Canis lupus familiaris: one gene and its partner. The protein of the gene in region 2 interacts with the protein of the main gene of each other region in a pairwise test. Links are inferred from orthologs where the notes say so. Each region holds a gene or a part of one and is shown on either strand. Other genes may lie near its edges.

Evidence for each region. The genes of interacting proteins can lie anywhere in the genome.
Region 1: the proteins of RNPS1 (region 2) and SRSF1 interact in a two-hybrid assay, tested with the Homo sapiens proteins (2 studies listed by BioGRID and IntAct, with this or other methods). The link is inferred for Canis lupus familiaris from reciprocal best matches to the Homo sapiens genes RNPS1 and SRSF1.

The regions. Positions count from the first base shown.
Region 1 is NC_049230.1:32,648,471-32,659,363, forward strand, and holds SRSF1 (serine/arginine-rich splicing factor 1), read right to left. Parts: upstream 7,256-10,893; 5' UTR 7,108-7,255; coding exon 6,914-7,107; exon of another isoform or gene 6,507-6,913; coding exon 6,322-6,506; intron 5,948-6,321; coding exon 5,775-5,947; intron 5,576-5,774; coding exon 5,381-5,575; 3' UTR 3,436-5,380; downstream 1-3,435. UniProt on the Homo sapiens protein: Plays a role in preventing exon skipping, ensuring the accuracy of splicing and regulating alternative splicing.
Region 2 is NC_049227.1:39,158,956-39,169,781, reverse strand, and holds the start of RNPS1 (RNA-binding protein with serine-rich domain 1), read right to left. Parts: upstream 5,179-10,826; 5' UTR 5,041-5,178; coding exon of another isoform or gene 5,039-5,040; intron 4,520-5,038; exon of another isoform or gene 4,501-4,519; intron 2,427-4,500; 5' UTR 2,310-2,426; coding exon 2,239-2,309; intron 2,000-2,238; coding exon 1,844-1,999; intron 1,204-1,843; coding exon 1,012-1,203; intron 698-1,011; coding exon 595-697; intron 314-594; coding exon 160-313; intron 1-159. UniProt on the Homo sapiens protein: Part of pre- and post-splicing multiprotein mRNP complexes. Auxiliary component of the splicing-dependent multiprotein exon junction complex (EJC) deposited at splice junction on mRNAs.

The DNA.
Region 1 (10,893 bases), on a different chromosome or scaffold from region 2:
GGTTTCCACTTCTCTAGAGCTGTTTTACAGTAGGGATACTTTCCTGGTTGATTTTGTACAATAACTCCCTCTAGTGGCTACACAGTTTTCCCTAGCATTTACTTAACAATGGAGTGCAATAGAACATGGTAAAAAAAACTTACTAGACATTTGGCAACCCTTTTAAATTGTTTTGTTCATACTGAATGTGTATAGCATTCTAGAGAGGCTCTCAATTTCTGCTATTTTCACACTGATAGTTCTTATCAATAGTTGATAGGTAACAGTCTCCCAGGATCTGCCGAACTCAAGACCAGAGGTATTTTCATCTGTCTGTTGTTTTGTACACCCATCTAAAACAGCAACTCCTTAAGCAATGGCATGCATGTATTTTCTCTCTCCAATAGCCCAGCTGAAGAACTTATTACTGTGAGATTATTTATAACTAAATTAACTTCTACATGACAAAGACTAATTTATTCAATTTCTTTTGGGGGGGGTACTACGAAGCACCAGATAATTTTTTTAATAGAAAAATTCCTTGATCCCTACAAAAATCACCACCACCTTCACATATAGCTTTTGAAATTATCAAGAAGCATCCCCAAAGTCCTCAATCACAGGAATAAGTGCTCGTCTAACTGTAACTCATTGGGCCTCTACTTAAAGCAAATTTTTGCCAGGACTATTTATATTCAATAAACAATCAAAATTATAATCTCATCACTTCATGCCAATCCCAGCTTTTCCTATAGGATCATAGTGATCAATATTCCTGCAAAGTACTGAAAAAAAAAATTACCTCAAAGTGAATATACCACTACATACACTAGGATGGCAGAGTAATTTCCTCCAGTGGAGTACAACTGTGAGTCTACTATAGCAACAGAATATAAAGAAATGTGGGTCATACCTTTTTTCTCGTGGCTGCTTCAGTCTAAAAAAGTCGGGGAACTCAGATCTCCATTAATAAAGGATCCACATTTAACAGGTTTGTTTTTATTCACACGCCCAAAATTACACAGAAGCTTTAGCTCTATATTCTATTAGAGTTCTATAATCTCTTATCCAAACTCAAGGGACCAGGCATATTTGTAATTGAGCCATTCACTTTATAAAGTATGGTAGAGTCCATATCATGTAACAGCCCCAGCAAAGCCTATGCCAACTGTGTAATGAAGCCTCAGTATTTCCGCTAAGACCATGTAGTCCCCATAAGTACAAAACAAAGGCATCGATTCTGGTCAGGTTTCACATTTAACGTTTTCAGAATTTTTTGGATAAGAGATTGTGAACCTGTTTTCTGCCTCTGTACTCTTCATACTGGGATGGAACTAAATGAAACCACAGGATGGTTATGTTACAACAAAACGTCAGTCTAATAGTTTCTTTAATACTTTATGGTAAATACATACATAAAAGTTATTTAAATTGTAATTGCGGTACAACTTCATTATACAAAATAAAAAGACACATCTAAGAAATTGATCTACATAGACAATGTGAAGGAAAAAAACCACACCAGTCGTAATGAGCCAGAAGTTTCAAAGATAAAACTAAGAAAGCTGAAATTCTAGAATCATATTGAACTTAAGGACTACAATAAATGGACATGGGAGCACTCAAGATTTATGTGGGTATAAAACTTAGGGGAAAAACTTTTTAAACGAAGAAAATGTTCATACAGTCCTTGAAAAAAATTACTAAACCAATTTTAAAAATAAAATTCAGGTCCCAAAAAACTAGGAATCAGAAAATGGGTTTCTTACCTTTTGCTTCCAGAAGGATGTGGGCTGAACAGCAAGGTGTGTTATTCAATCTGATGTTAATGAAAAATAATTGCTTCTTAAGTTTTTCCTTGGTTAGAAAATAACAAACTAATTACAGGCTCCCTACACTATTCTAAAGGAACATAAATAGGGAGAAAAGGGGAACAATTCAGGGCCACCTTTAGTTCCAAAACTGACGTTCTTTAAATAGCTGTCAAAATGGATAAAGATTAAGGTTCTTTTCCTAAGACTGAAAAACAAAGTCTGCATCTTCCCTCAGAGGTTTTAGCTGCCTGGTCTGGTACCCGGCTACCTTCTATAAATATGCAGCCAAGTTCTCTAATCTTCAGTTTATTATCAGACAATATTTTGTGTCCCACGTCTATTCTGAGGTTGGGACTACTTAAACTTTTAGTAGAGCACAGCTCTCAACTTAGCTTAAATGCACTATCTTCAGTGAAGGCAATTTTATCTTGGTTTCCAACACATTTAATGAACACATGCTTAAGTCTAACTCATACTAACATTTCAAAAATTAGTCATTTAAAAATATTTATATTCTATACATGAAACATAGGTTTCAAATAGTAAAAATCTTTCCACTTCTTGACTGTTGTATTTTAAATCCTTGCATAAAAACTAGTAACTTCCTTAATTTATACCAACCAAGTTCTTTACTTAAAGGAGACTCTTAAGTTTTGAACTTAATATCCCATTCTCTTCCTTACATTCCGCAAGGTTCATCTAAATGTTTCGGTTGGGTGTCCTTATGTAAATATCTTAGGGCCCATTTCTTCTATTACCACGACTATGTATAGTTTTTCCAAGGTTTCAAATTATGTCACCTGCATAGTGGTCTTAAATTCAGCTTCCAGCTCTGATTAGCATCCAAGGCAAATGTTTAAGATTTAGTTATTTCTTTTGGGTGCAGAAAAAAGTGTTTTGATGGTTTTGACTAGCTATGAGGAAATCAAAAGAAAAAGATTAGGGATTTTAAGTAAAAATCTCCTCCCCCAACTCAAATGAAAATATAGCACCAAGGGGCTATCGAAATAAAAAGATACAACAACTAGCAAACTAAGATATAAATCACTGCTTTGGTAGGTTTTGGATACAGAATCAGCTTATGGTTGAGAAGGGTTTTGCAAAGCAAAATTCTAAAGAAAGCCCAGCTTTTTATTGACAAATAAGCAGTTAATATTCTAGTGTATTATTCACATTTCAGAAAAAAATGTAATTTGTGTTAAGGGTGCTAATCTGTGCTTAATTTAACATTTAATACTTACCAATTTTTGAGAAGAGCATGAAAACCTCAAAGGCTATCCCCAAGTTAACATTAACTGGTCACTACCCAATTTTGCATAAAAGCCTATGTTGTCTAGATGATCACCAAAAATTAAACATCTATAAATTTAATCATTTTTATCAAAGTATGGGAAGATTATCTTTCAGAAACTAGATCACCCCCCATTTACCATATTATATACACAATTGCCTTATTCTTAACCTTATCTCCCCCAGAAGTCTTTTACAATTAACAATAAGAGATGGCTAACTCCACTTACTAGATTACCTTTCAAGAACCTTTAATTTACTAACACACAACATAATCTCATCAAAAGTATTAACTGATAAACTAGTCACCCAACTGAAATTTTACATGAAGAGGAAAAAGGACAACCATGCATAGTTTTTTAAAAAATGTTTATTTTTTTCAAAGAAAAACGGCAATAGCCAATTGGAAACCTACTTATTCTTCAACTCCAATTTTGTTTTTTAAATTTAGAAGTGACTTACTGATTTACTATTTTAAACAAACCCCCCCTTTCCCCTTTAAATGTTTACCATCTACTCGTGCTGAATCCTTCCAAGGAGATTGCTCCAGCGTATTATCTCCAGGTCCTCGCTTTGCTCCTTTTACCAAAAAATGCAAAACACAATTCCATCGTGCATCTTAAGGGCTCCAATCGTCAAAAATAGGAAAAAAAAAAAAAATCTTTGGAATAGCCAATTAAGTTGAATAAAAAAAAAAAAAAAAAATCCACACGAATGCGGTTTGGTTGGGGCAGGAATCCACTCCTATGTTCCTGGTAATCTGATCCCGCTCCATGAATCCTTGTAATTCATCCTCCCTATCCTATCCACATTATGATTTGAATCCAATGATCCAGCTCCAAGGATTGGGATCCAGTGAGCCCTCTCCAATCCAAACCTTTATAACCAGCAAAACCAAAAAAGAGGAGGCAAAATGTTAGATACTGTAATCAAAAAAGGTTTCTGGGGAATGATGAGTTATGTCTGTCATCAGTTTAACAGATGTACATCAATAACTATCAAATTCCCCAAAACAAGTTTCTGAATGGTGTTCAGATAAATTTTAGAAACTTAATCATCATAGAGACTAATTGGAAGAAGCATTTTATATTTACAGTTCAACTGATAATGCCAACACTTGTTACTGTACAGCGTATTACAGGTTTTGTGGTTGCAAAAAGTTATGTAGTTGAAAAGTTTACTCGTATTGCTACCCACCCTAAGGCTAAACTAAACCTAATGCTCCCATCTGCAATTTAATTTGTAAATTAAAGTGTTTTAAACATGAGTCAATTATGAATATTAGTTTAAAGGGGAAGGTGAGACTTAAAAATATTCCCAACTAGATTATCTACACCAATACATTGGAATTCTATTTTGCTTTCATTTTGTCTTAAAAAAATGAAATAGCAACGCTATATCAGTCACACAGAGGACATGCAGATTTAGCAGTATTGATATTATACTCTATCTGGTTGGAATTAAAGACACCCTGTACCCACATGTACACCAACAGCAGGTCACACATTAACAGTTGTAACTAAGCACTGTGACAAATTAGCCAGTTCTTCCCACATTAGTCCCTATTAAAACAAAAAAGGGGGGAAGGGAGCAAAATAATTGTTACAAAATGGGCAATGTAATTTTGCCACAATTGCCAAGGTTTAAAGAGCAAAGCAATTGTAGCTAAAGATAACTGCACAAGATGTTTGCAAGTGTTTTAAGGTAGATGTATATATATATATATATATATAATCACTTTTATCCCTTGCCTTTTAGTATAAGGTCAATACTGCCAATTTCATCTGTGACAATAGCACTTGGAGTCATACCATTGCCTCCATTATTGATCTGATCCTCCTCAATCCTCCTTTTGACAATCCTAAAATGATTGAAATGTGCTCCACAATCCTTAATCCAAAGCATTCTTAATCCATCTCTTCAGATATGTCTACAGAAAGACACATGAAAAGCAAGATAAACATAAGAACTTCCCCAGGTAAGATAACCACAAACACCCCCAACATCCCAGTTCACACAAACCAGAGCAGAATAGACATTTACACAATATCACAGTCTGAAGAGCATGGAGAATTAACTAAATTTCAACAATCCTGTCTATGACATCACTTAAAATACAATTTATCAGACATGAGGGGAATGTAGATGTTAGGAGCAAGGGGATATTACACAAGAATGCAATTCAACACTTTAGCCCATTCTGAACAAAACAGTTTGAATTAAAAAATGAAAAGATTGTACTGAGTAAAGGAAAACTGTATACAACATGGGTTCTACAAAAAGTGTCACCAATCATCTTATGTACGAGAGCGAGATCTGCTATGACGGGGAGAATAGCGTGGTGATCCTCTGCTTCTCCTTGGGGAGTAACTGCGACTCCTGCTGTTGCTTCTGCTACGGCTTCTGCTACGACTACGGCTTCGAGATCGAGATCTTCCATAACTTGGACTTCTGGGCCCATCAACTTTAACCCGGATGTAGGCAGTTTCTCCCTATTGAATAGACAGAACTTTCGATTGAAAGATCTAAGCTTTCACCTGTCTTCAGGCATGCTGAACGAATACAATGTAACTAAAACCAGAAATCTGGTATTTTACTTGGACACCCTTGCCTGAATCTTACCTTCAAATTCCACTGTTAAGACCACTGTATCCAATTCTGGCCAAAGAAAAGAGTAAGTGTAAAACCTACCTCATGAGATCTAAACTTAGTGTTATCCAGTTTTCGAACTGCATAGGTCATATCTTCTTTCCGTACAAACTCCACGACACCAGTGCCATCTCGGTAAACATCAGCATAACATACATCACCTGCTTCACGCATGTGATCCTTCAAATCCTGCCAGCTTCCACTTGGAGGCAGTCCTAAAAAAGTATTTTTTCAATACCAATCACCCTAAATTTCACACTACACTTAAAATCTATACTAGAACGAAAACCACTTTAAAATTAATCAGATTCAAGATCGTAGGTAAGAGAGCCATTAATTAAGATTCTGGAATCCAAAGTCCCAAATTCTCTGTAAAGTAAGGATCTTCATCGTCCAGGCATCCGACCTAATGGTAGGTAACTAGCACACTGGTACACCTCCACTACGGTTATCCTTTACTAAACTCACCCGAGAAACTAAATTTAAGACCTACCACAAAAACAGGCATTTGTCAAAACCACTCACGCAAGGGAACACTTAAAAGTGGCTCCTGTCCCTCCTCAACAACCCTCACCAACAGAAAACTCACCGGAGACAACCACTCTGTTTTCAGAACGCCTGGATGGGGGCCCATAGCGGCCTCGGGGAGCCCCGCCACCTCCACCCCCGCCGCCGCCTCGGCCTGTACCACGGCCGCTTCGAGGAAACTCCACCCGCAGACGGTATCCATCGTAATCATAGCCGTCGCGACCGTACACCGCGTCTTCCGCGTCTCTGCGTGATCAGAGAAAGCAAGAGGTGTAAGAGTAAGGCCCGGGAGGGGCAGCTAACTCAGTCGGGAACTAGCGGCCCCCGCACATGCGCACCCAGCGAGGAAGAGCCCACATGCGCTGCATAATAGGAATGGCCCCTCCCCCACCCAGAAGCACGCCAGGCTCCCGACCACTACACCAGCCCTCGGCGCCTCAGTTTCCCGCTCCGAGACGGAGAGTCCACTCTGGGGACGTCCGTGGGCCCAGCCACCAGAGAAACCACATCGACTCGGCTCTTACTCGACTCCTGCATGGGCGACACAGTCTTACCCCCAACCTAAAAGCCCACCTCCCCATTCTCGGTAACAAGGCCTTTCCCCAACTACTCCAACTTATTGCCTCCAGGCGGCGAGGCCCAGGCCGCCTCACCGAGGGTCCTCGAACTCAACGAAGGCGAAGGGCGGTCCTCCGCGGCGATTCTTGAGATCGATGTCGCGGATAGCTCCGTATTTGTAGAACACGTCCTCAATGTCCTTGGTTCGGATGTCTGGAGGTAAGTTACCCACATAGATGCGGCAGTCGTTGTTCCCTGCCGGGCCACGAATCACACCACCTCCCGACATGGCGGCGACGAAAAGCGCGGACTCGAGAACAGGCCTTCCCACCAAGCCTAGCGCACGGCAGAGCGAGCCCGCAGCGACACCACGTCTCCCGCGGCCCCTCCAAAATGGCGCCTTTATCAGCTCGGCGCACGGATATGGGGGGAGGGAGGAAGAGAAGCGGGAGGAAGCTGCTATTCGGCCTCAGTACGCACGCGCAAGAGCGTAACGGGTGCTGCGAGCGGTACGCTCACGCATGCGCGACGTCACCCTCCGCGCGAAGGGAGAAAAAAGTTCCTCGCGTTCTGGATTTGTGGAGTGGCTCGCAAATGACGTGACCGGCCCTTTGGTAAAAATTAAACAGAGATCCCTCGTCCACGGAGCTACTAATCCCTGACGAATCTTAAAGGATAGTCCGTTTTCTCAGGAATGAGTCTCTTTTAAAACAAGTCCGCGCCTTAAAAGCATTGGGTGAAACCTAGCCTGGAGCCTTGTCCCACGATGCTCTGCGGCGTTAACGGCCTTTGGCGGGAAAGACTGCTGGGGGCGGAGCTAAGGGGGGAGGGACCTGGCGGTTGCTCCGGAAACGGGAACATCCTCGTAGAGGGAGGCTGGTCCCGGAGCTCCGCTGTTGGTGCTTCAGTCCCGAGCTGAGTAGTGATTTTGTTTTCCTGCCCCCTCTGGTCTCAGGCGGTGGGCTGCTCAGACAAGTGTCTCATTTAGGGCAACCCAGCTTAGACCCGGTTCCACCGCCGGCTCAGAACTTGACTTTGTATAGCTCAGCTCAACACGCCTTGACCTAGTGGCGGTGGCCGAGCCCTGACCAGTCAACTAGGACTGAGACCTCAGCTTCTCTTTAATCGCCCATCACTGGGCCTAGCGCAGAGGTGAGGTCCATTGAAAGGTTGAAGAGTGAATTGTGCCTGTTACGTATCCAACTCTTTCAAAAAAAAAAAAACAAGAAAAAGCGCGCGTGTGTTGGCAGAATCCTGGAGTTTGTTCCTCTTTCTGACCTCATTCCCGAGCCTCTCAGGTAATATTTAAACGAGCTGGGGGGATGTGTTAGAACTGTGACCCCTGGAGACCACAGTTGCTGCTCAGAACTGATCCCACTTGCATGGCGGCCCAGGGAAATAAGAACCTGTTAACATTTTTTTCAGAGATATCTGAAATCTGGATTTTTATGTAAAATGTTGGGATTTTAAAATATTTGTAATGAATTCAACTTTTAAGAAAACCCTGCCGTCATAAATATGCTAAAACATCTGCACTCTGAGTTTACGGAGGATTTTCTTCATAGTATGTATTTGTTTGCAATGGTCCCCAAGGATGTGAAGCAGTTTACAGAGGTAACCTAGAACATTATTAAAACTGTACCAAGAACTCAGGGGGAATAGGAAAATAAGAGGGGAGGAATTTAAGATGAAGTCATGGATAAGGATACTATACAAAATGCCTGAGGTAATTGCCTGCCCAGTTACTAAAGATGGACTGCAAATTTGACTCCAGTCATCCCAGAAGTCATAGGAAAGAAGGGAACACAAGTATATTCAAAATCCTAAGTGCCTTTGAGATTAAAAAATAAGTACATTGTTTAGGAGAAGGGCATGTTTTCTTCGTTCTAAAAGTTGATTGAGTGCATTTTACCAATGTCTCTGAGTGATCCCGAAATAAAAAATTCAGTTTGATCCTGAACAGATTCATAGAGGATCTTTGGTAGTTCTAGAACTCTGTGATGGTTTCCAAAATTATGCATATACACGCATGTACTTTTTCTGCAAAGAGGATTTGAATTTTTAGTTAGATTCTTATAGGGGTCTGTAGATTCCCAAAGCTAAGAGACCTCTGAAAATTTTAGAGGGAAGGACAGATTATCTATCTTTTAGAATATCCTTCATTGATTATCCATCAGTGGGATTTTTGAAACTGGGCTTTTAATTAAAAAAAAAAAGAACCTGATTATTTTCAAAATGACCAAAGAAGCTGACCAAAAAAGACACTATTTCAACAAATTTTTTTTTTAATTTTTGTTTTTATTTATGATAGTCACACACACACACACACACAGAGGAGAGAGAGAGAGAGAGAGGCAGAGACACAGGCAGAGGGAGAAGCAGGCTCCATGCACCGGGAGCCCAATGTGGGATTCGATCCCGGGTCTCCAGGATCGCGCTCTGGGCCAAAGGCAGGCACCAAACCGCTGCGCCACCCAGGGATCCCTATTTCAACAAATTTATTCAGTTTTTAGCACTGTGCTACTCGGTTAGTAGCAGAAAAGACATTAATTAATTAATTAATTTCAAGACATTTTCATTCCAGAAAAATAAGAAAATTGTAAATTTGCTTTGATTTATTCTTGTCCAATTTCAGGCAGTTATTTCTTTTTTTTTTTTTTTTCAGGCAGTTATTTCTGATGTTCAGATGAATACAAGTAGAATTTAATATAGAATGAATAGGATATTCTTGCTCCTCTCTTGGCTTCTTTTATTGTATTTGATGTAACCAAATTAGAGATTCTGGGGTCCATCATGAGGTCAGAATATAGCAGGAAAAGTCTGAGTGGCTCTTTTTTTTTTTTAATTTTTATTTATTTATGATATCACAGAGAGAGAGAGAGAGGCGCAGAGACACAGGCAGAGGAGAAGCAGGCTCCATGCAGGGAGCCCGATGTGGGACTCGATCCCGGGTCTCCAGGATCGCGCCCTGGGCCAAAGGCAGGCGCCAAACCGCTGCGCCACCCAGGGATCCCTGAGTGGCTCTTTTTTAAGGTCTACCAGGATGACATTAGTTTGGTGATTATTACAGTTAAGGCTGTGATCTTTTTTAAAAAAGTATTTTATTTATTTATTCATGAGGCACACAAGAGAGAGAGAGAGAGAGAGGCAGAGGCACAGGCAGAGGGAGAAGCAGGCTCCACGCAGGGAGCTCGGTGTGGGACTCCATCCTGGGTCTCCAGGATCATGCCCTGGGCAGAAGGCTGCACTAAACTGCTGAGCCACCCAGGCTGCCCCTCTTTTTTTTCTTTTTTTTTTTTTTTTTAAGACTTATTTGAGAGAGAGCACGAGTGTAGGGGTGAGGGGCAGAGGAAGAAAGAGAGAATCTCAAGCCAACTCTCATCTGAGCACAGAGCCCTCCACAAGGCTCAATCTTAGGACTTTGAGATCATGACCTGAGCCAAAACCAAGAATCTGAAATTTAACCAGACTGAGCCACCCAGGTACCTCAAGGGCGTAATCTTAATATCAGTATCCCAGGGGATCCCTGGGTGGCTCAGCAGTTTAGTGCCTGCCTTTGGCCCAGGGCGCGATCCTGGAGTCCCGGGATCAAGTTCCACATCGGGCTCCCTGTGTGGAGCCTGCTTCTCCCTCCTCCTGTGTCTCTGCCTCTCTTTCTCTCTCTCTCTCTAATAAATAAATAAATAAATATTTTTTAAAAATATATTAGTATCCCAGAGTTAATTAACATATTTTAGTCCACAAGAGTAAAAAATAAGAAAGCAAGCAAACCAAACCATTTATTCATTTTTTGGGAGGCAGGGAGTGGGGGGAACAGATTCATTTTTGGTAGCCAGGATGCTCAGATTGTATACACCAAGACAACTGTTTTGGCAGGTCTGGAAAACAGATCAGGCAGTTGCTTAGTAAATGAGTAATCAAAGCAAAATGAGGCGAATTGTTTTGAGAGATCTCATTCAGATAGTGGTGAGACCTTAAAAAATGACCCCTGCCCCACTTCAGAGTATATGTCTTCATTTATACCCCTTGGATTTTGTGTGTCTGCTCCCTGGACAATGATGCTGGGTAAAGACTG
Region 2 (10,826 bases):
CCTCCACTGGTTAAGAACCAGAATCCTAAGAGCTCCAGGGAGACTGTGATGTGCAGCCAGGTTGGAAATCAGTTCTAAAGTTCCCTATGTGTGGCAGGTAGCTTGTCCTGCATAGGGAATAGAGAAGGGAGCTCAGAGAGGGCTGGCAAGGTCACTCACCTCCATCCATGTGCTTCAGTGCCTTCTCGGCTTCATCTGGATTCTCAAACTCCACGTATGCATAGCCTTTAGACAGATGGGGGTGCATCCTTTCTACAGGCATGTCAATCATTTTAATCTTCCCATAGGTGGAGAATATCTCCATGATGTGGTCCTAGAGCAAAGACAGGTCACTCTGATGCATACTCACAACTACCCATGTGGGAACTGAAAATGCACGACACATCAATAGCCTTGGCACCTGGGGTTAAGTTTCTCACACAGGGTCACCCTGAGGGAGTTACTGCTCCCCTTGACAAACGCTCTGGTCAGGCCCTGGAAAGCCTATGCCCTCAGTTCACCTGAGGCTGAGGCCTGCTTCTCTAGTTTTCCATTTAAAACATATGTAGAATAGACATATCCCACTGCCCACTGGACAGATCCAGGATCCCTCACCTTGGTCACATTCCTGGTGAGCCTCCCGATGTGTACTTTGGTGGGTTTAGGGGAAGGACTCCGCCTTTTCCTTTCCTTTTCATCTCTTTTGGGTGGTTTGGATCTGATTGAAGAAACAAAACACCAGAAACAATCAATTTCTGTCAAAATTTTTTAGTGGGGCTGCTAATTGCTACTAAGATAGTTTTTATAAGGAAGCCTTCCCCTACCAGTTCATGTATTTCATATTAGCTCTGCTTCAGAAATCCTACTAAAATAGAAAGACTCCTTTTTAGATCTACTTCTATAGTAACAAGAATAACTTTATCGTCCCCCATTTGTGAACTTAGTTTCCCAGATAATTCACAAGTTTTGAGGGCAATCCCTTCCCAACCAAGGCACTCCTGAGTTGAGAAGAGGTGCTGGAAAGGAGCTTACTTGGAGCGGGAACGCCTCCTGTTGTCATGCCTACGCCTAGAAGGACTGGGTGAGCCAGAGGAGCTGCTGGAGCTGGAACTGCGAGATGTGCTGGAACTTCCTGAGCGGCTAGAGGCTGAGGAAGAGCTGGAGCCACTGCTGGAGCCTGTGCTGGTGCTGGAGCCTGAGCTGGAGGTAGAGCTGGACCGGGACCTGACAAATGAGACGGTGAGGTCAGGGGCAACAGTGCACGAGAGTATTTCTTCCCACACATGAGCCCATACTTGCTCCTATTCCCAAGAGGTAAATGTCCTCCCATTTCCAAGCTTCAATGTCTCCCCTCCTCGGAGGGCCCCACTCCTGCCCAGCTGAAACCCCAGGTAGGGACAGAAAATCACACTGTGCAGTGACAGGAAAGAGCCACCTCCTAGCCATACAGGAGCCTCACCTACTGGGAGGCACAGAGTCTGGCAAACCAGAAGCACCAGCCCTGCCTGGATGGTAGCTACCCAGGGACTCGGGCTGGTTTTCAACTGAGGGAAAAATAAGCTTTAGGCTAGAGCAATCCAATCACAACTCTAAACAAAAAAACACTCGAGAGAAACTTATACCCCAAGATGTCCCAGTCTTTAACATCTCCAGAAAACACCTCAACACCATCTTCCATATGTAACCAGAGCAAACTCAAACCACTCTGCCATAATCCAGGCCTTGATGAACCACCTCAGAGTATGTTGGTAAATTACGAAGACCACAGAGCACCCTGCCAGCTCCCTGGGAAGGGAAAGGGGCGTGGCCACAGAAGAGAAGCCCTCTCGGGTGCTCAGGGGTGCTCTGTCCTGCCGGGTCCCACCTGGTGCTGCTGCTACCACTGGAAGCGCTGCGCCTCTTCCGAGTTTTATCCCTGCCACGATCCTTCTCACTTGACTCCTTGGTGGCCCCTTTATCTTTAGAACGATCCTTGGACTTCTCATCAGAACGGTCTTTGCGTTTGGTAGGAGAAGGAGCCCTGGATGGTGAGGAAGAGTGTGAGATCGCATGCCCCTCTGACCAAACCCTAAAACAAAACTACCCAAAAGAGGGGATCCAAAGGGCTATAGAGATCCCAGGTGATCACAGAGCAAAATGATCTGTGGCTTAAGACACGTCACTGTAGAACGTAAGTCATTTCCATTCTTCCCCTTGCTGAGGGTCCCTAGTAATGAGCACCCCCAAAGTAGCACTAGAAAAATCTGACAGAAGGATTACCTAGTGCTGGACTTTTTATTATTTTCTTTGACTCCTAGCAAGCTCTTCTTTTTCACTCCTGATAAATCCATTCTCCCCTTCTGAGGTGTTCAAAGCAGCAATGGTGGCCTCACTTATCTGAACTCTCACTTCTAACTCGAGTCTGAGAAACGATCCCTAATCGATTGCAATTTACGCCAAAGTGCAGCCTAATAACAAGATAAAAGGATTTACAGAGTGAACGAGTTGGCAAGGCAACAAATCTACTTTGCAGTCAAAAGGTGAGCACACAAGATGGCAAGGAACACAGTAAGCAGCGAGCGTCCACAAAGCCAGGAACATATGGGATCTCCTCCATTTCCTCAGGGAGGGTCTTGCCCCCACAGGTAGACCTTCACCTCACCTTGTTGTTTTTTCCTTAAGGAAAGGGTGGTAGTGCCTGTCACTGTTCTTTTACAGGTGGTACAATACCTGTTTTTCACTCCTAAGTTTGATAAGCCCTTTACCATTCCCTTAGAAATGTTACAACACCACATTTGCATGCAGAACAGAAGAGTCAAGTGTGGCTCTCCTGATAGGATCACTGGTGTGATTAGATCTCAGGTTTTACTGCTGCAATTTCTTTGTAGGATACATCGAACATACCATGACTAGAATCAAAAACCATTTCAAAAGTGACAAGTACCAGCATCTAAACATTAACACCCAAATGCAAACAGATAAAATGTCCCATAAGAACACTGAAAAAGTAGTAAAATAGTTAAGTTAGAAAGCAATCATTGCAAATGCTGAACTTTAATTAATGATATGCACATGGAAGCGTCATGGGGAAAGTACACCAAAGCCTGCTATTTACTTCAAAATGCAACAAAAAACGTGGATGGGCGATCTGTTCTATGACAAAGCAAATATGGCAGAAATGTAACTTGTAGGTTCTACGTGGTGGTTATGCGGGTATTCACTGGAACTGGAGGGCACTGCTCCTAAGGGTCTCACCAAGTGCCCGCACCACAGCATGAGTTGTGAGTGGTCAGTGTAACCACCAAACCATCATGTGCCTGGTCTCCTGGGGGACTCGCGACCTTCATTTTTTCCAGGGAGGTTTTTCTACAATTTGCTTGAGCTGCAAGCGAAGATTGCAGAATGGTGGTGTCAACTCCTCCTGTCTCATCTTCAACAGCCTGTCAGTAACATCGACATGGCAACCACCCGGGATCCTGTTCTCACATGTGAAGGGGTGTGCAAAATGCTAAATGAATGTCGTGACTCAAGAAAGGAGGCCAGCTTTGGACAATCAAATTAGAGCAGAAGCAAGCAGGGTGTCACCTTTGAGGCTCCTCTCCAGGCTGGTACAATCTTTTAAGACGTTTTGCCTTGGAACAGTAAGGTAGTAAGCAAGCAGCACTGGATGGAGTCAGTGGCCTTGGACAACCAGGAAGTACGGTCCAGTGGGCAGGAATCTGGAGTCAGCCTGCCTGTCTGATTCCAAGCTCTGCTTTGGGACCGGGGCTAAGTCCCACAGCTGTTCTGAGTCTCCACCTCTCATCAGCGTTTTGGGGGATACAGCTCCTACACCTCCGTAGTTACCAAGATCACCAACCCAGTTTACTCACATGGAAGGAAACTTGGCATCTAGTTAGGGCTCAATTAAATGCCCGCTCATGTTACAAGACAGGGGTGCTCCTCCCCGTGTGCAGGCTTTCCCCTACATAAACTCTTGTTTCCCAAAGGCCCACACGATCTCCTGAATGCTGGACGGCCCGTTAAGAGGATCACCCAGGGCGGCCCTGTCCCAGGAGAAGAGCGTGAGCTGCCGGCACGTCCTCAAGCACTCCAGCAGCCCCGTTACACAAGGAGGTTAACGAGGGATCCAGCCAAGTATTGACACCCCACGCCCCCAATACCATCTCTCCAACGTACAGGCAGTGAAGACCCACCCGTGATACACTTACTCCCCCGCGGGCGCCAGACCTCTCCAACACCTCCACCCGGCCCAGGCCCGGGCCCAGGCTCAGGCTCAGGCCCAGGCCGGGCCGCCCGCCTGCCGGGGCAGCACCCACGGCAGGGCGCACCCCCGGGCCCCACCCCAGGGCCCTCCGACCACCAGCACCACCCGAAGCCCCGGACTCTAAGCGCTGCGGGCGCGGCCGGGCCTGGGGAGCAGAGCCCGCGGCGCTCTGTCCACACAAGTTCGGGTCGCGGCACAGGACCTGGGTTACCTCCCCCATCCTCCGGACAGGTGCGCGTCCAACAGCCAGAGAGAGAGAGAACAGTTAGTCACACCTCGAGCAGATGGCGTTCGGCCCCGTCCTCGGGGCACCTTCCCCACTTAAAAAGCACGTTTTTGGCACAAGTCATGCGACAGCCAAGAAGGGCCGCGGCCTCCCTTCCTTCCCGCGCCCCCCTCGTGGGGCGGCCCGCCCGCCCGCGCGGCAGCGGCGCGGTCCCCGCGCCTCCCGGGCCCCCCACGGGGCAACTCCACCCACGCCGCCCCCGTCCGCCGGCGCCCGCAACTCCCAGCCCAGGGCCGGCCCGAGGGCGGCTCCGAATCCCGCGGGCCTTGCCGGGGCCGCCGCAGGGGGAGGGGGCCGACGTGAGCGCCCTTCCGCCCGCCGCGGCCCCGACCACTTCCGGGCCGCGGCCTCGGCGCCTCCCACTCCGCCAGCCCCGGGCCACACTCTTTCTTCTCGCGCCCGCTGTCGCGCCGCCGGGCCGCCGTCCCTACCAAGAGGCCGAGGGGCGGGCCGGCTCCACCACGCGCCCCGCCGAGCCTTGCGGGCGGCCCCCGGAGCTCGGATGGGGTCGGATTCCCCCAACTTACATCTTCCCGCCGCCGCCACCTCCGCCCGCTCTCCTCAGCCTCGAAGGCCGGCGCCGCTCTGGCGTCAGGATTAGGGAGCGGGAAGGCGCTGCTCTCCGGCGCGCGGCGATGACGTGACCGCCTCAGCCAATGGAGGGAGCGAAGGGAGTGTTAAAGGGCCCCGGCCGTTCCCGACGGGCCGCGTCGGGGCCTCGTCTTCTGTCTCCCCCGCGAGGCGGGGATCTGGGGCGACCCTGGGCCGGCTGCGTGCCGCAGGGGGCCGGCCGACTGCTGGGGGCGGGAGGGCCGCGCAGGGCGGGCGGCTCCGGGCCGGCGCCGAGGGGGTTAACGCAGCGGCGGCCCCGCCCCCCCGTTGCGCGTGCGCACTGGACTAGCAGCCCGGGTTCCCGCTCCAGCGCGCGGGGCGGCGGGGGCGGTGAGGTGGGCGGCGGGGACAGTGCGGTGGCTGGCGGGGGCCGGCGGGGGCAGTGCGGGGACCGGAGGGGACGGTGCGGGGCAGGGCGGGGGCGGGGCGGGGCAGTGCGGGACAGTGCGCGGCCCGACGGGGGCAGTGCGGGGGTGCTGAGGGCTGTGTGGCCTCTGGCTGCGGACTGTGGGGTCTCGCGGGGCGCCAGCTGCCCAGAGAGCTGGGCAGGAGAGGTGCGGAGTGCCCACGCGGTCGTTGGCCCTGAGCGTGGACAGGGGCAGTGCTGCCATCGCAGTGGGGAGCGAAAGACCGGATAGAAGAGAAGTTGCGAAAGGGCAAGCACCCCGGAGGAGGAGGGGGCACTGCGCCAGACCAAGACCCGAGGGGAAGGAGGCGCCCGGTGAGGGAGCAGCAGGTGCAGGGGCACGAAGGGGGCTCGTTGAGGGGAGGCCAGGGGGCGACTCGCAGGCCAGGGCCGGGCAGGTGAGGTTCGGGTGCCGAGCGGGAGCCTGTGCAGCACCCCCCCACCCCCACCCCCACCCCACACCTCGCGGGGGACAGTGCAGGCAGGGAGGCGGACTCCTCTGTTGAAGTACGGCCCGGGCCAGGCAGGAGGCTGGGAAGAGTAAAAGCCGCGCCGAGAGGGCCAGAGCTTTCGGGGTGTGTTCCCCGAGGTGTCTCCCACGGAGTCCCTGCCCCAGTCTGGCTACCGGTGGTTACCCCAGGACTGAGTGGGAGGAGGGAAGGTGCACCCTGCCCCAGTGGCTGTCTGCACAGGTAGGTGCATCAAGGAGGAGAAGGGAACAGATCCAAAGCAGATCTCTTGGAGGAAGGAGCTGTGGTGACTTGGAGATGGATTAGCTGCCGGGGCGGGGGCAGGAGAGTCCGGGTTGCAGTGTGGTGACCAGGGATGGATGGACAGACTGTGGACACCGTCTGCAGGCCATTGCTCTCTGCTCTGTATGGTTTTCCCAGCACATGGATGGTGACGCCCTTTCCTGTGCAGCTCCTCTAGCCTGGTCTGGTGGGTCAGTGTACCCCTATACCTGATGGAGGGGTGTCTGAGAGTCACCAGCAAAAGAGCAGGGAAAAAGCAGTTGCCTCCTGAGTCCCTGTTTGCTAAGACACCAGGACGCTCTTGGAGAATGAGCTGGGTTGGCAGGCAGAGTGGGTCTGAGCGCAGGTCCTCCCTTTGGATTTAGATCTGCCCTAGAGTTGTGGGGGTCCATTTAGAGCAACTTAAATTCTCTGCCTCATTGTTACCGCTGCCATGGCCAGGTGTGGAGGAGTAAGTGGGAATGGGGGACAGTCCCGGCTCGGCACTGCAGCAGTGAAGGGGCCCAGAGGGTCAGCACTGGGGGTGGGGTGGACTTGGTGGTCCAGGCCTATAGCCAGTGGAGGTCTGTGAGGAGGCCGTGGCAGCCTGTCAGCTGCACACGCCTGGCCCAATCATTGGTGCGTTCCTGAGGGCCTTGATCCGGAGCCTTTGCCCAGCCCTGCGTGGTGCCAACACCCTAGGTGGGGGAGCAGGCCAGGGGCCAGGAGCTCCATGTGGCCATATGGGGGTGGGGACAACCAGCTGGGCTGACAACCCCTTGTGTCTTTTTAAAATGTGCTAAACTGATAGAACTTGGCATGCATGTAAATTTTAACATGTTTTATATTAAATCTAAAGCATGATTTATTCAGACACATAAATTTAATCATATTTGTTTCTAAATATTATAGATCTTTGTTATCAAGTGTGTTATCAGCTGTTGAGCTTTAAAACTTGAGCATCTTGTCTTGTGCCATTTTGAAGATGAACAGAATGTGTTTGGAAGAAACAAGAAGTAAAAACTGGAGGCCCTGGCCGTCCAGGGGTTCTGGCTTCCCCCTTCCTATGCCCCTGTGCTAACCCACCCAGGCCCTGGAGGGGAGGACTGGGAGGCTGGGTCCCCAGGAAGCTTTTTTTTTTTTTTCCAAGATTTTATTTATTTATTCATGATAGACATAGAGAGAGGGGTGGGGAGCAGAGACACAGGCAGAGGGAGAAGCAGGCTCCAAGCAGGGACCCTGATGCAGGACTCGATCCCAGGACTCCAGGATCACGGGCCTGGACCAAAGGCAGGCGCCAAACCACAGAGCCACCCGGGGATCCCCTCCCCGGGAAGCTCCGAAGGACTGTGGAGCAGGTGTGATGGTGGGGCTGGGGCAGGGCCCTGCGGACGGGGCGTTCAGCGGCCAGCCCAGGCCTGGAGCGCCAGAGCACAGGCATCCTGCAGGCTCTGCCGGTGTCCTGAGCCCCGGGGCTGAAGGCCACCTGTTGGCACGTGGAGCTGGTCTCACTTTGGAATCAGAATGTTCCGTCGGCCTGCATTCTCTGTGGGCCTGATGGGCTCTGCAGTGCCTGTCCTTGGAGGCTGGTGACCTGGGACACAGCGTTCAGTGGTTACCTGGATTGTTCTGGAGGTCACGGTGGGGTATCCAGGAGCCACGTGGGCATCGCATTCCCTTGTAAACCACGTCAAGAAAGCATGTCTACCTATCACTAAGAGTCTCTGTGCTGAGGGCAGCGGTGGCCCAGCCAGGCTGCACAGAAGGGTTTGGGTGGCCGCAGGGAGCTGGTGATGGCTTGGTGACAGCTTGGTGACCTTGAGGGAGGCATTAGGAGAGGAGGCGGATTGCCAGGCCTTGGCGATGACAGAGTGAGTGCCTGCAGCCCCTGAAGGAGCCCAGGAAGAGGCACTGGCTGGTCCTTCTGGGTGGCCAGGCTGGTGTTAAAGGGCCAGGCCACCAGTGAGGGTCTGAGTCGTGGGGAGGCTTCTCCAGCTCCAGGCTCGTGTCTCCAAGGTGTGGGGTGTCAGGTCCCGAGACCTCCCCTCTCCCCCTGCCAGCAGGCAGCAGACACCTCAGGACTCTCCTAGGGGCTGCTGAGCAGTGAGCTTAGGGGCTTGTGCTGGTTTCCATGCCCAAAGCCCGGTGTTTGTTTCTGCCCCAGGGAAGTCAGGAATAGTGACAGCACAGCTGTGGTTGTCACAGGGAGAGGGTGGGACCCAGCCAGAGCTGGATATGGGGCAGTCTAGCTGGGGCGCCGTAGCACTAGGTGAGCTGAGGGCCTTGTGGCAGCGTTGGCTGTGGCCAAGCCACCTTGGCCCCTGTCCCTGCTCCTCAGGCCCTCGTTGCGCCATCCACAGCCAGTTGACTTGGAGCTTCTTCAGCCTTGGAAGCGTCTGGTGCCAGCATCTGTGGGGTGTAGGCCGGGCCCCGAGAGCGGGGCCTGGGCAGCCCTGTGTGTTGAGGAAGGAAGGCAGGGCCCCCGCTCCCCGGGCCTGACCCTGTGGCTTCAGCTCCTCCACATGCTGCTTGCGGCCTAGGCCACGTGGGCCTGTGCGACAGGGATGGGACTCGGGCCCAGCATCTTGCTTCCTGGTGCTCTCCTGAAGGGTGGTGGGGGCCAAGACCTCTGCCTTCTTGGGGAGCCTCTTGGCCCACCTTCCCTGAACCCCCTCGTGCAGTGACCCAGGGGGCTTTGCCCTCCTTTGGGAAAGGGAGATAGGGACTTGAACCTTCCAGGGTTTGGAGTTTGGACCCGAGCCAGGGTTCAGGGAAGGGGCCTTGTGTCTGTAGAGTGCGGGGTCACGTGTGTCCTGATGGCCTCAGCTGCGGGGTAGGTGAGCGGCCTGGGCCTGACTTTGGTGTTTGGGGTGCTTCTTAGAAACTCTGTGGGTCACCTCCTTGATGCAGGAGCAGATTGGGGATTAAGCGCTCTGGGTCCAGGTGGAGCCCAGGCTGTCTACCCAGGGATGTCCCTCTGTGTGCAGGGAAGGCTCAGGCTTTTGTTGTGGTCACAGGGTCTGGGCGAGCAGAGGCAGCCCTCCCTTCACACTGACCAGTCCGTGTGGGAGTGGGGGTCTCAGGGGACCCGCTGGTTCCCAGAAGTGAGCCAGACAGCAGCTGGTGTGGGGTGTCGTGCAAATGCAGCAGCCTATTCGGTTGCCCCGGCCGGTGGTCTAGCCCTGGGCCGGTCATTTGGAACCCTCCCCGTCATGACCAGGCTCTGGCTCCGTAAGTGTTGGGTCTGAGCGCTCTGGGGCTTTGGGCCTTTGCTGTCTGTGTGGTCGAAGAAGTGCCCGAGTTCAGCTGGGCTCACGTGGGGCCAGGCCAGGCAGAGTGGTCATCCCCAGGCAGCTGTGGCCACCCCTGGGCCAGCCTTCCAGCTGCTGGCCTTGCCTCACTGCTCTATCGGCTGCCTTGTGAGACTGGGCTGAGGGTCCCTGAGATGCAGTTGACCTTGGCTCCCCCTGGAGCTCGACTGAAGATCTGGGATTGGCGTTTGCCCAGCAAAAAACTGTGCAGTTTGCTCTTCGGTGGCCTTGCATCCAAAGGCCCAGGACACGCCATGGGGGGCAGAGGGGGTCCCAAGGGTATGGTCACTTCTGTTCTGTGGGGCTCCGTCAATGACGCAGGCAGCAAAAGCACACATGGCGGGGACTCGAGGACACTGCAGTCATGGTGGAGACCGGGATTGTGTCCTGGAACCTGGCTTGTATCTGGGGTCCCCACGCCCGATGCCGGGTGCAGCCATGCACCTGTGTTCCAGGCAACACGGTCTGACCCCTGGGAGCTATGCCCTGCGGTTCCCTCTGCCTGCTGATTTATTTGGAGCCTCGAGGGCACCTGGAACCCCCACCTGGACAGAGCAGACAAACAGGATCTGACTCCTCGAGGCCTGGACTGCCTCCTCTGAACTTTGTCTTCGACGGATAAATAAACGCCTGTGTTTTTTTAAAGTGCTGCTGCTGGGCCTTCTCATGTGCGCAGGGTCCTCGATGCACAGGAGCTGCCGCTGTGGCCCCCGGGTGGGGGCACCTGCACCCCCGGCCTGCTGGCTGTCCTGCTCTCCCAGGGAGCCCAAGGGCACCCACCAGGTCTGCCACCCTCCTCCCCCGTCAGGCCATGTCCTGAGCGCAGCTGTCCTGTTAAGGGACGCCCCCCACAGTGCTGGATGGGGCAGGATTTTCCACAGGCCGCCTCAGCCCTCTAGGGGGTCTCAGCCCCTTGGGAACCCCCCCCAACCACCAACCAGGCCACACGGGGCAGGGCAGGCGTGACCTTGGCTTCTGGCTTCGGGGGTCTGCAAGCTGCTGCGGCGGAGGGGCAGCAGTCCAGCACACACAGCATCTCCAGGGACCCCCTGGACCCCAAGGTCTGGAGGGGAGTGGGATGGGCTGGGAGGGGGATGAAGCAGGCCTGCATCCCGTTGGGGTGTCCAAGGCTCCTCCGCCTTCCCTGGGCCTGGAGCTGCCTCAGCTCAAAGCAAATCAGCTGGGCTGGGGAGGGGCGGGGCGGCGGGGGTGGTTCGGAGGCCCCACTCCTGGCTCCTCGGCTGGGTGTTTGGCA